Caenorhabditis elegans: one gene and its partner. The protein of the gene in region 2 purifies or fractionates together with the protein of the main gene of each other region. This does not show direct contact. Each region holds a gene or a part of one and is shown on either strand. Other genes may lie near its edges.

The links.
Region 1: the proteins of C43H6.4 (region 2) and nhr-202 fractionate together in Caenorhabditis elegans (co-fractionation; one large-scale study listed by BioGRID). This does not show direct contact.

The regions. Positions count from the first base shown.
Region 1 is NC_003283.11:460,728-465,730, reverse strand, and holds nhr-202 (Nuclear Hormone Receptor family), read right to left. Parts: upstream 3,144-5,003; 5' UTR 3,132-3,143; coding exon 2,992-3,131; intron 2,945-2,991; coding exon 2,814-2,944; intron 2,774-2,813; coding exon 2,703-2,773; intron 2,573-2,702; coding exon 2,444-2,572; intron 2,394-2,443; coding exon 2,184-2,393; intron 2,092-2,183; coding exon 1,895-2,091; intron 1,288-1,894; coding exon 1,023-1,287; intron 977-1,022; coding exon 875-976; 3' UTR 768-874; downstream 1-767. Other genes in the region: nhr-203 (Nuclear Hormone Receptor family), read right to left, coding at 3,953-4,054, 4,103-4,370, 4,474-4,670, 4,722-4,931.
Region 2 is NC_003284.9:2,401,917-2,407,867, reverse strand, and holds C43H6.4 (PH domain-containing protein), read right to left. Parts: upstream 3,845-5,951; 5' UTR 3,837-3,844; coding exon 3,691-3,836; intron 3,648-3,690; coding exon 3,569-3,647; intron 3,525-3,568; coding exon 3,365-3,524; intron 3,311-3,364; coding exon 3,177-3,310; intron 2,884-3,176; coding exon 2,641-2,883; intron 2,585-2,640; coding exon 2,297-2,584; intron 2,251-2,296; coding exon 2,134-2,250; intron 2,081-2,133; coding exon 1,965-2,080; intron 1,757-1,964; coding exon 1,622-1,756; intron 1,570-1,621; coding exon 1,481-1,569; intron 1,176-1,480; coding exon 799-1,175; 3' UTR 504-798; downstream 1-503. Other genes in the region: mtpn-1 (ANK_REP_REGION domain-containing protein), read right to left, coding at 98-181, 231-401; dhhc-9 (Palmitoyltransferase), read left to right, coding at 5,929-5,938.

The DNA of each region.
Region 1 (5,003 bases), on a different chromosome or scaffold from region 2:
AAATGACAAAAAAATTAAGAAAGCATTAACATGAGTTTTTAACAAAATAAAAAATTTCTTCAAATGACCCATCTAAAAACACATAAATCTCTCAAATCCAAATACTCTCGGACATAATTTCACTAATAACAGGAGTGCGAAACCATGTGGTTCTAATCGAATAAGGTCATCGTCTCCGTCATTCAACTCATCAAAACACAGACGCATTCAAAAGAAAGTACATTGATTCTTTGGTCTCTTCCCCACATGTTTGCAATTGCCGACTTTTCTCGGGTATTCTGCGGGTGTTATAATGGACCTGGTAGTATTTACACAGCTTACTTGCTTTAGGGGGAATATCCTAAAGTGCTGGGGAACAAAATAAAATATTCAGGTTTTTTTAGAAAAAAAATCGGATTTTCCATAAATGAGCTGAAATTTTTGATGCTGAAAATAACAAAATGACACATGAAAATTTTAAAAATCCAAAAATCCAAAAAAAAAAAGTTTCAAAACTATTTTGAGATTTTGTGTATGTTTAAAAATAATGTCAACGAACAAGAACAATTACATTTTTCCAAACAAATTTTCTTTCAGAAACGAAAAATCTAAATAATATTTTTTGAAAAGTTTAACGATTCAAAAAAAATAGATAACGTCATTTTTCAAAGTAATTAAAACAAGCACCTCCGATTTTAAAAAAAGTTGTAAAGGTAGTTCCGAGCATATGACGAGAAATTTAAAAGAAGACGCAGACTCTACGAGAAATGTCTGATGTGGAATAATATAGTGTAGTTTGTAGTGCAAACAATAGGTGCGAAGAGCACTTGGTACTTTAGAAAAAGAGCAAAAATGTGCCAAGAATATAGGTGTTTATTTACAGATTATGAATTCGTTATTGGTAGTTCATAAATAATTCCGGATGGGAAAAGTTTACAAAAAACACTTCGAACACTTTCAAAATCTCCACATTTATTTGGTCTTGGTAGATGAATTGCTGGAAATTTCAGAGTTTTTTCCAGACAAGGTTTAATATAAAATACCTGAGCAATACTATTAAGCTTCATCAAAGCAGCAATCCTTCCGGAATAATTCGGGCGGGACAAATGGTTCAAGTAATAGTCGTGTAAATGATTTGATATAGAATCTTGAAATTGCTCAACGGCTTCAAGTATTTGCCCGTCACATTGTTTGCTAATTTGTTGGAAACACAAATGACATAGCATGTAACAAAGTTCCTCATCTGTTGGGTTGAGTTGTACCATCAATTCCAGCAGCTCTTCATGTTTGTTCCAATTTGAATCGATGCTGAAAAAATAGTAAGAGAGTAATGTTTTTCGAAAAGTTCGTAAAACAAAATTGATGAATTTTCAAGTCTTACGTTTTTAAGTTGGTGAGTTGTAGAGTGAAATTGGATTTTTCAAAAACATTTTTAAATTGGCCGCCAAATTGAGACTAAACTAAAAATTCGGGTAATTTTTTTCAGTCAATTTTTTCGGTTAATTCAATTTTATAAATTAAGTTTCAGCTAATTTTCAGAACAAAATCAAAATTTCAAGTTTGTATTACTCTAAACATATTTCTAGAAGTTTCCTGATTATTGTAGGAAACTCTAGAAGTTTCCAGAAAAATCTAAAATTTTCCAGATTTTTCTAGAAATTTCAAGATTTTTCTGGAAAGACCCGCTAACAACTTTTCTCAGAAATTTTAATTTTTTCGCCAAAATTGTATTCTTAGAAAATTTTCAGTTTCCTGCCGAAATATTTTTCTTTTGATGCGTCTCGCCACGATGGGACTCGCAACGATGAGTCTCGCCACAAATGGAGAGGCTCCGCCCATTGATGACGTAGTCAACAGACGTACACTATTTTTTAATATATAGGCAATGATTTAATTTTTTTAAAATAATGCTCACAATGCAAACTGCTCCGCTTTGTAATTTGAGCACCAAGATAAGTCGAACTCTACCGACTTCCCACAAGCCACTAGATCATTTTCCATTTGTAATACCATAAGAATATCATCACAATTCATCCGCTTTCTCATTTTGGCGGTAGTTGCCAGCTTTTCCAAACCATTCCAGACAATCCAAACTTTTTTAATAATCTCTATCTAAATATTTTTATTTATTTTTATTTTTATAAATAAAAAAATATTTTTATTGTAATTTGTACACAAAACATTGCAAAATTTTTAAACTTTACCTGAAATTCCGAAGAAAACTGTTGAAAATCTTCAAAGTAGGTGAACCACTTGGCAACTTTCAGCATATCATTTTCCCACATTGCAAACATTTCATCTTTTCCGAATTTTTCTAGCCGTTTCGTTACTTTTCTCTGAGACCCCCGGACTTGCTGTAAACCCAAAGCCAGCTTTTTCAAAATATTCGACGTTTGAATAGGTGTTTCAATGCCCTGAAGTACACAACTTTAGTTAAAGCTTGTACTAGCTGGAAATATCTTGCCTTTAGTAACTCCCCGTAGGACTTGTCAATCAAAAATTTGACATCGATATAGACCTTGGGATTTTGTGCATCTTTTGGTGGAGCAGTGAGAATTATAAAGCTTGGTCGAGCAAGGAATGTTTCAAGCGTCTGGAAATTGTATGTGCATGGCCCGACCTTGAGTTTGGGTTTTTGATGGTGAGGCGTGGAACCCGGAGGATGTCGGGCCACTTATTTCAGTCTCAATAACAATTTTCCGTTTTTTTATAAGACAACTTACCGGTGGAATTCTTCCAGCTAGACTGATGCATATTGAACTTCTCTTGTATGGGTCCCTTTCGAATTGAAAGTCTGAAAAAAACTAGTACTAATAGGGAGCCAGATCCCTTACTCTCAATTTTCATCCCAATTTCGAAGCATTTTTTTAATCGACACTTTTTACAGCTCACATATCCATTTTTGTAAAAATCGCAAACATTGTTCTTTTTACATGGCTTGAGATTGTTTGAAGCTCCGAATCTCCTGGAATTTTGTAAAATATTGTTAAAATATTAGAATTAGAAATTTACCTGAAAAACACCGCACAAGCTCGACAGGTGTACGCTCCGAAATGAATCCCATGGGGCGGCTTATAGCAAACCGGGCACTTTTTAGTGGTAGAAATGGTGAGGTCCGGTGGTGAGGAGCCGGATGAGCAAGGGGTATCCATTTTGTTTTCCTGGAATATGTATTTTTAATGTATTGTTTCAGCATAAATTAACCAGCGTAAAAATCAAATAAAGACATTTTCAAATCGGTGTAACCATATGATGAAAAAATTATTTGTTGAACTTTGAAGAGAGCGCAGAGAAAATGGAAGGACAAAACGCGTATTTTGTAGTGTATGTGTGGGTGCCCTACAGTTTGAAAGATCAAAGAGTATAATAATAGGAAAAAGTGACCTAATAAAAATTTTTGTCGACTTTAATGTAAAAAGTGGCATCACTATCTTCTAAATGCTCAAGAAACATAGGGTTTTAAATTTAAAAATAATGGTTTATTTATAGTTTGTAGTTTTTGTAGTTTGTAGTGCGTGATTATTTTTGAGCAAAACCCTTCATTTTTTAAAAACATTTTACAGAAATTTCAGCGCAAGGTTCAACGTTCTCAATTAATTTTCAGCAAAATTGAAGTTTTCGAAAAATTTGTAATTTTTTTTCAAAAATAGCTCGGCGAGAGCTGACGCAAAATTCAAAATTTTCAAACAATTCGGCGCGAAACTTAGACTTCAATATTTTTTCTGAAATTTACCGCGGAAATCTAATTTTTTCAAAAAAATAATTTTGGAATTCCTGAATTATGTCCAATATAGTATTATATTTTCACGCAAAATTCAAAATTTTATTCTATTTAAAATCCAGAGTTAAATTCAAATTAAAATATTTTATTCGTCGTTTTGCCGTAATAATAAAGCATGTTGAGATACAAACAAATGATTTTTTTTTAGAAAAAAAAAACATAATTTTTTGAGATCTTCCGCACTTCCATTGACTACCAATAATCCACAAATAATTCAGGATTTGAATACTCCACGAATAACACTTTGAACAGTCTCATCAGTTCACATTTCAGTCGTTCCCGCTGGACGTACTTCTGAAATTTCAAAAAAAGGTTAATTTTAGAATTCATAGAACAAAAAACCTGAAAAGCATTGTTGAGCTTTATCATTGAAACGATCCTTCCTGAGTAAGTCGGGCGGTTTTCATGGTTTATGTAGTAGTCATGTAAATGATCAGAAAGGGTGTCTTGAAGCTGCTCAACGGTTTCTTGAGTAAACCTGTCACATGATTTTTTGATATGTTCGAAGCAAATATGGCATAGCATATAACTGAGTTCTTCGTCTGTTGGATTGAGATCTACCATTAGTTGCACTAAATATTCGAGCTGAGCTTGATGGTCAAAGTCGAAGCTGAAAATGTTATTATCGTTGATCTCCGGGTATATGATAAGAAGCAGCCGACATTTATCGCAAGCCTCGATCGATGTCGGCCGCTGTGGATTCCAAAACTCACAACTGCAACTGCTCGGTTTTATAACTCGAGCACCAGGAAAGATCGATCTCGATCGACTGTTCACAGGCCACCAAATCATCGTCAATCTGAAGCACAACATTCGCACTTTCGCATGTGGAATTTTTTTTAGCATTTGCAGTATTTGCCAGCTTTTCCATTGCCGCCCAAATAGCCCAGACTTGCTTGATCATATCGATCTGCAAAAGTTTTTTTTTTCATTAGTATAAGTTTGATCTACCGGCACAAACCTGAAGATTATATGGAAGTTTCTGGAAATTGTCGAAATATGTGAACCATTTTGCAATCTTCAACATATCAGTTTCCCACATTGCAAGAACTTCGTCCTTCCCGAATTTTGACAGGATTTTTGTCACATTGCACTGAGTACTGCGAATTTTTTCCAGGCCTAGAGCCAGTTTTTTCAAGATGTTCGGTTGTCTGATAGGTGATTCGCAGCCCTGGAATATCGATTTTTCTTTGTTTCCGGGAGCATGGCAATAAGTTCTTGTTGTGGTCGGTATAAAAGTATT
Region 2 (5,951 bases):
CGTTTTTGACAGCGAATAAAATTATTCTGGAAAGTTTCACTGTAAAATTTAAGCTTACTAGCACACGACAGGCGCTACTGCACCATAAAATACTCACGTTTTGGAGTAGCAGCTTCACCGCGTCGCGATGTCCTTCCCACACGGCAGACAACAGCGGTGTGATTCCGTATTTGTCCTTATCCTGAATCAACAAACATAAATGCATATTGTTGAATATCGTGCTGATTCACCTGAATATTCGCTCCAATGCTAATCAAATACGCAATGATAGAAGTCTGTCCGTAGTCGGCGGCAATTTGAATGGCGGTGCGGCCGTTGTAGATCTCGTGAACGTTCTTCTCGTTGACGCTCTGCTTCACTGCATCGATCTCTCCGTTTTGTACGTTCCAGGCGACGGACATCTGGAATTGTTGTGAGTTTTAATAGAAAATGTTCACAAAAATGTAAATAGCAGTAGGTTAGAAACCAGTGAAATAAAATCTCAAGGAAACTTCAAGAAAATTGAGCTTCAAACTTTTATTTACAAAATTTATGATACGTGTTTTAAAAAAACAAAACTGTAACAACAAAATATGTTAGAAATTGACAATTTGGATAAAAATTTGTATACAGAACAATATATCAGACTGGACAGCTAGTTTCCGCTGAACAACGCAAAAAATCGATGAGAAAGGCTGGTGTTGTGTGCTTAGTGTGCGCAGAGAAATGAAAAAAGAGATGAAGATCAGGTGTGAAAACATTGAAAAATGAAACAATAAACAACGGAAAACGAAATATCTCTGAAGTGTTGTTCAATTTTCAAGCAGCCGACACTGGACTGATAACTTCCTCTTCATCTTCGTCGGAAGAATCATCCGATTCATAGGGATATTCAGACTCCACAAAATATGGAACACCAAACGAATCTGCGTCTGTGAGACGATCAATTTGAACGTGACGCATTTGCTCTTCCAAATGAATTCGTTCCTGATCATTATTGTTATTGAGTTGAAATATGGGCCAGTAATGCCTCAAATGTCTTGTAATTTCGGTTTCAACATTTTGATTATTGCCAAAAATCCGATCATAATTCATTGTGATCCGATGGAGCAAAGGTACACGACCACCAGGTCGGCTGAGAGTTTTTGTCATAAAGATTGGAAACGAATTTTTGAATCCATCGGTAAGTTTGTAGCCTGAAAATTGAAATATGCTACAGATTGCTCAGTTTTCGAAAAGGAAAAAATAATTCAAAATAGTTCTGAAAAATGCTGAGTTGTCTCAAAATTACTGAAGGTTTTATCATGTTTTGGAATACATTTTCATAAAGCTTTATCCAATGTAAATAATTGTCATTCTGACACTAAAAACGCATTCTTAAGTCTTGATTGAAATTTTTTGAAGTGAAACATTCGTCTGCAAGGCTCACGCACCTTGTCTTTGTCATGATACTTTTTGCAACGTTATCAAAAAAATTTGATAAATCTATTCTCAACTCTACCTTTAAAAATATTCAAAGGGCTCATGAAACTTGGCTCAACTTGAAGAACGTCGTTGTTGATTACACCAAGCATATAGACGAGAAGTTTTCTGAAAATAGACAGATTTTTTTCTGAAGTAAAAAATTATCCAATTTACATACCCTGTATTTACAATAATGTATTGCTCACGTTGGTATCGCTGTCTCTCATGATGATTAAAATGACGACTAAAACGTCCCCAGTTGTACACATTATTTGCATTTGCTACAATGTGGAAATCAATTTCCTTTGCGATTCTGAAAATAAAATAAGAAAAGTTTGAATTTTTTCGAAAAAAGGTTGCTCAGATTCTTCAAACAAACCAAGAACTTGAGTTGCAACTTAATACTTTATTTAGTAATTATGGTATGTTTAAAAGAAATTTCCCCACTGGCCTTTAAAAAGAATAGTATAATTTTTTTAGATAACACACAAAAAAAAATTCAAAGGTATTAAACCACTTACTTTTCTTGCCAGTCTGGATCGATTTCAGTCATAACTGCTTTTAATTTTGTATCTATTTGGTACAGGTTATACAGACAGTGCAAAACCATTTCAAATGGACCAAACACTTGGTCAATCTGAAATTAAAAAATTAAATTAGATTTACTTGCTCATAAATCCTTCAATTAACCCCTTCTGCGTGCACATCTGGTAGAAACTTCATGAGTCGTTTGAAAAGAAGTTTGAAAAGTTCCGGATTACTATTCTGGTGATGTTGCTCCTTTTTGGGACACACTGCAGCGAGGCACTAAAATTATAAACTTGTATGTTTTGATGAGTTTTAAAAACTGTACCGTGTAATATACGCAACGTTGTTTTTCATCCATCATTGGCTCTAAAACTGCAAACTTCATCAGCTCATCGAACACGTTTTGTCGATAGTTGGGGAAGTACTTTATGAGCACACTTTGGCGGGAAAAGAAAATAAGTCCGTGATTTGTTGGATTTTTCTGACGTGTCATATCTAGTTCAATTAAATGACGGTGTGCACTGTCTGCCAAAATTTCATCCGATACTGAATTATTTAGTTGTAATTGACTCATGAAGTATTGAATCTCGTAGGCATTTCTGTTTTGGAGCATCTGAAAGCTTGACCACACAGTAGAAAGAAAAATACATTCTTGAAAAAAAAACGCACTGCTACAACGAAATTCGTTTCGATTCGATCTATATCCATTTCTTTGAAATTTCCCAATTCCTCAATTGTTGTGGCATTTCTTTTTATGTTCAAAAACTCAACGGCGGTTCCCAGATTCAGCCATCTTTTTGAAACGTGGTATGTTAAAGCCTCCAGCATTTGATACGAAAAGTTTTCAGTAACAATTATAAGAGATATCAGTAGGAAGAAATTTTCGCGGCCCAGACGGACATTTTTGGCTAGCTGAAAAATTGATTTTAATAATTTTTTGAAAAGTTATTTGTTTAATGAACTGCACTGCATTTTTTTTTTTCAGTTTCGATTGTTTCCATTGTTTGGTACTTCCAAAAAGTGGTCAAAACTGAGATTTTTTCAATTTTCAAAAAATCATAAACAACATTTTAAAAAAATTTCTGTCATTGTGGTCATTGTGGTGCGATTTCCCTACAGGCGCTATCCCACTTTTAAATTCTACAAAATTTGGTGGATTACCAATTTTTCGTGGGGTACTACATTTTTCAAACACAAACACTTACTGAAAGGAAACAGCTATTTAGCTCAGCATTCGCTAGTGGTGGTAGTTGTGGTCTCAATTCGCAAATTAAATATTTCAGGCATTGCAGGCTGTCTTTGACATCTTGAATCCGCCATCGATTATTTATGCGAATATCTAAAAAAAATAATTAATATTTCACAAAAATTGTTTCATCAAATAACTACTCACCGCGCGCAATTTCCAACACAATGTCGCCAAACTTGTTTATAGCTGTTTCATAGCATTCTTCATCCTTTTCCATGACAATGCCAGTTATGTGTTTACCAGCTGCTGCGCCGAGCTTTGTCCAGAGAACAGGAGGAGCATTGAATATCAAATCTGCTCGGTACTGAAAATAATGAAAGTTTTGGCTACTCAATTGGCTTGAAATACCTCATTGAAACTGTCTTCTGGTATCAGTTTTACCAAAGCTTTCTTCCAGTAGCACATGGTTGATTCATTGATGTAGTCTCTGTAACAATTTTTTTTTGAAAAAAAGAAGAAGGTCCACTTACTGAAGCAAAGATCCCAATATATAACGAATCGTTTCTTCAGAAAATCCATTCGCCAAAATTTGCAATGCTTTTCTGATGTCTTCTTTGTTGGTGCTTGGGCTTTTAATCAAAGATTCAAAACAGGTAAATCCAAGTTCTCGGTTCATTTTGAAAGCTGAAAATAGGAATTTTATTAAAAAATAATCAGAAGTTTTAAAAAATATTGTTTTAGAAAAAAGGAACATGAGTATGATGTGTAAATGGCGGAAACCAAGAAATAAGTTTTTGAAGCATTTTTAAATGTTTTAATTTACAGTCAAAAGTGGTGAAAACTGAGTTATCACTCATCGTAATTTTAGAAGTAGCCTTCTACAATTTCATCACATATTTGAAACATTTGGAAATTTACCAACACTGAAAATTTTTTTAAAGGAGGAGTACTGGTTGGAAATTTTAAACGTTTTTTGCAAAATGTGCTCAAATTAACAGAATTTGTAATGAAACTTTTCAAAAAGTTTTCTAAATGTTTTTTGACAATTAAATATTTTGAAAAAAAAGCTAATATTAGAAGTAAAAAATATATTTTAAAAAACGGAATGACATTCCGAAATGTGTTAAAAAACCGATTATCCAACAGAGAACATGTTTGGTCAAAATCAATAGGACGTTGCTGCTCTTCTACGTCCTGGTAGTGCCTGGTAGTCAAAACGAATGCACGAAAAATGAAGCAGCAGGCAGCGTCAATTTCATGTTGCTCACAACCCACATTCTTTCAGTTGTTTTCCAAAAGCTTAATGTTGTCGCCTTCGGAAAATGAAACAGAGGCGCGGAAATTAGAATATGACGTAGATTGACGGATTGGATTGAAATGAGGCAGAAGAAATTGGAAGTTAAAGTGAAAATTGATTTTATCACGGTATATTTTTTCATAGCCAAAAAACCTTCAAGGAAACTGAATACTTGATCGTTTAGATTAAAAATGATTCAAATAAGTAAGCAAACTTCAAAAATTCTGAAAGTGTTTTAAACTATTTTATGGTGGTTTAAAATTTTTTTAAAAAATTGGGCTATTTAAAGCTAAAATCTCCAATTTTGCCGTCATGGTTTGATCTACAAAAAAGCGGAAATTTTTTGCTCAAAAATATGTGACGTCAGCACGTTCTTAACCATACAAAATCAGTTGAGAACTCTGCGTCTCTTCTCCCGCATTTTTTGTAGATCTACGTAAATCAAGCCAAAATGAGACACTCTGACACCACGTGAGCCAAAATGGGACAATTTTTTCCAAGTTAATTTGAGCACATTTCGGGTCCGTACTTTCAAAAAACTCAGAACCGTTACTCTTTTTTTAATATAATTTTAGTAAGAGCGATGAAACATATCTTTTCATTTGAAAATCAAGACACAAAAAATGAAGACCGGCATTCTTCAAAAAAAAAATCTCAGTATATTTTACCTAATCAAGAATCGTTTTTTAAGGTTTTTATGGATTTCTGGTAGCTTCCTTGTTTTTGAAATATTGGTAGTTTGTCATGAATCATTTTTTACTGAAAAATATCATGTTTTTAGCTGTTTTAATTTATGAACTTTTAACTAATCTATAAGTACTTGAAGTAAAACAATTTTTGATCGACGACATCCAAAAAGGTGGCAAAAACTTAGCAAATGCCACTTTCTGATAAAATAAAAAGACAAAATTCAGACAAAATTCAGACAAAATAAAAAATATTTATTATTGAAAAAAAACAAGTTTTATTATGGTATTTGGTTAATTTGGCATAAGGAGATTGGTTTTTTTAAATACAATTTCCTCACTAGCGCTACTCTGCCAAAAAAATAACTTCAGTTAAAATAAACGTTAGAGTTATATGGGTATAAACGGAATGAGAGCCAAAAATGACAGAACGGCTTGATTTCTCATCAATGTTTTGCTGTCCGCAACCCTTCGATGCCTCTCCACTCTCTGTCTCTATGTTTTGTCTGCGTATCTAGGCTCTCTTCGTAACCCTACACTATTTCCATTCTGCTTCGTCACTGGTCATCCAACCTCATCACTGTCCACAATACACTTTAGCTTGGTCAATGCAGTGTCTGCACTCTCTCATACAATGGGTACTCTGTATGACCGGCATGATTGGCCTGTGCGCACTGCTGGCCGTCTAAAGCGTCGGCACACACTATTCTAGGCGAACCTCCATTCAAAGAAGACAGGGAAGAGTAGTACGATGGGAATACAATTTTAACGGAAGAAAAGGAAACATGTGTCATGGTAAGTAAAAGTG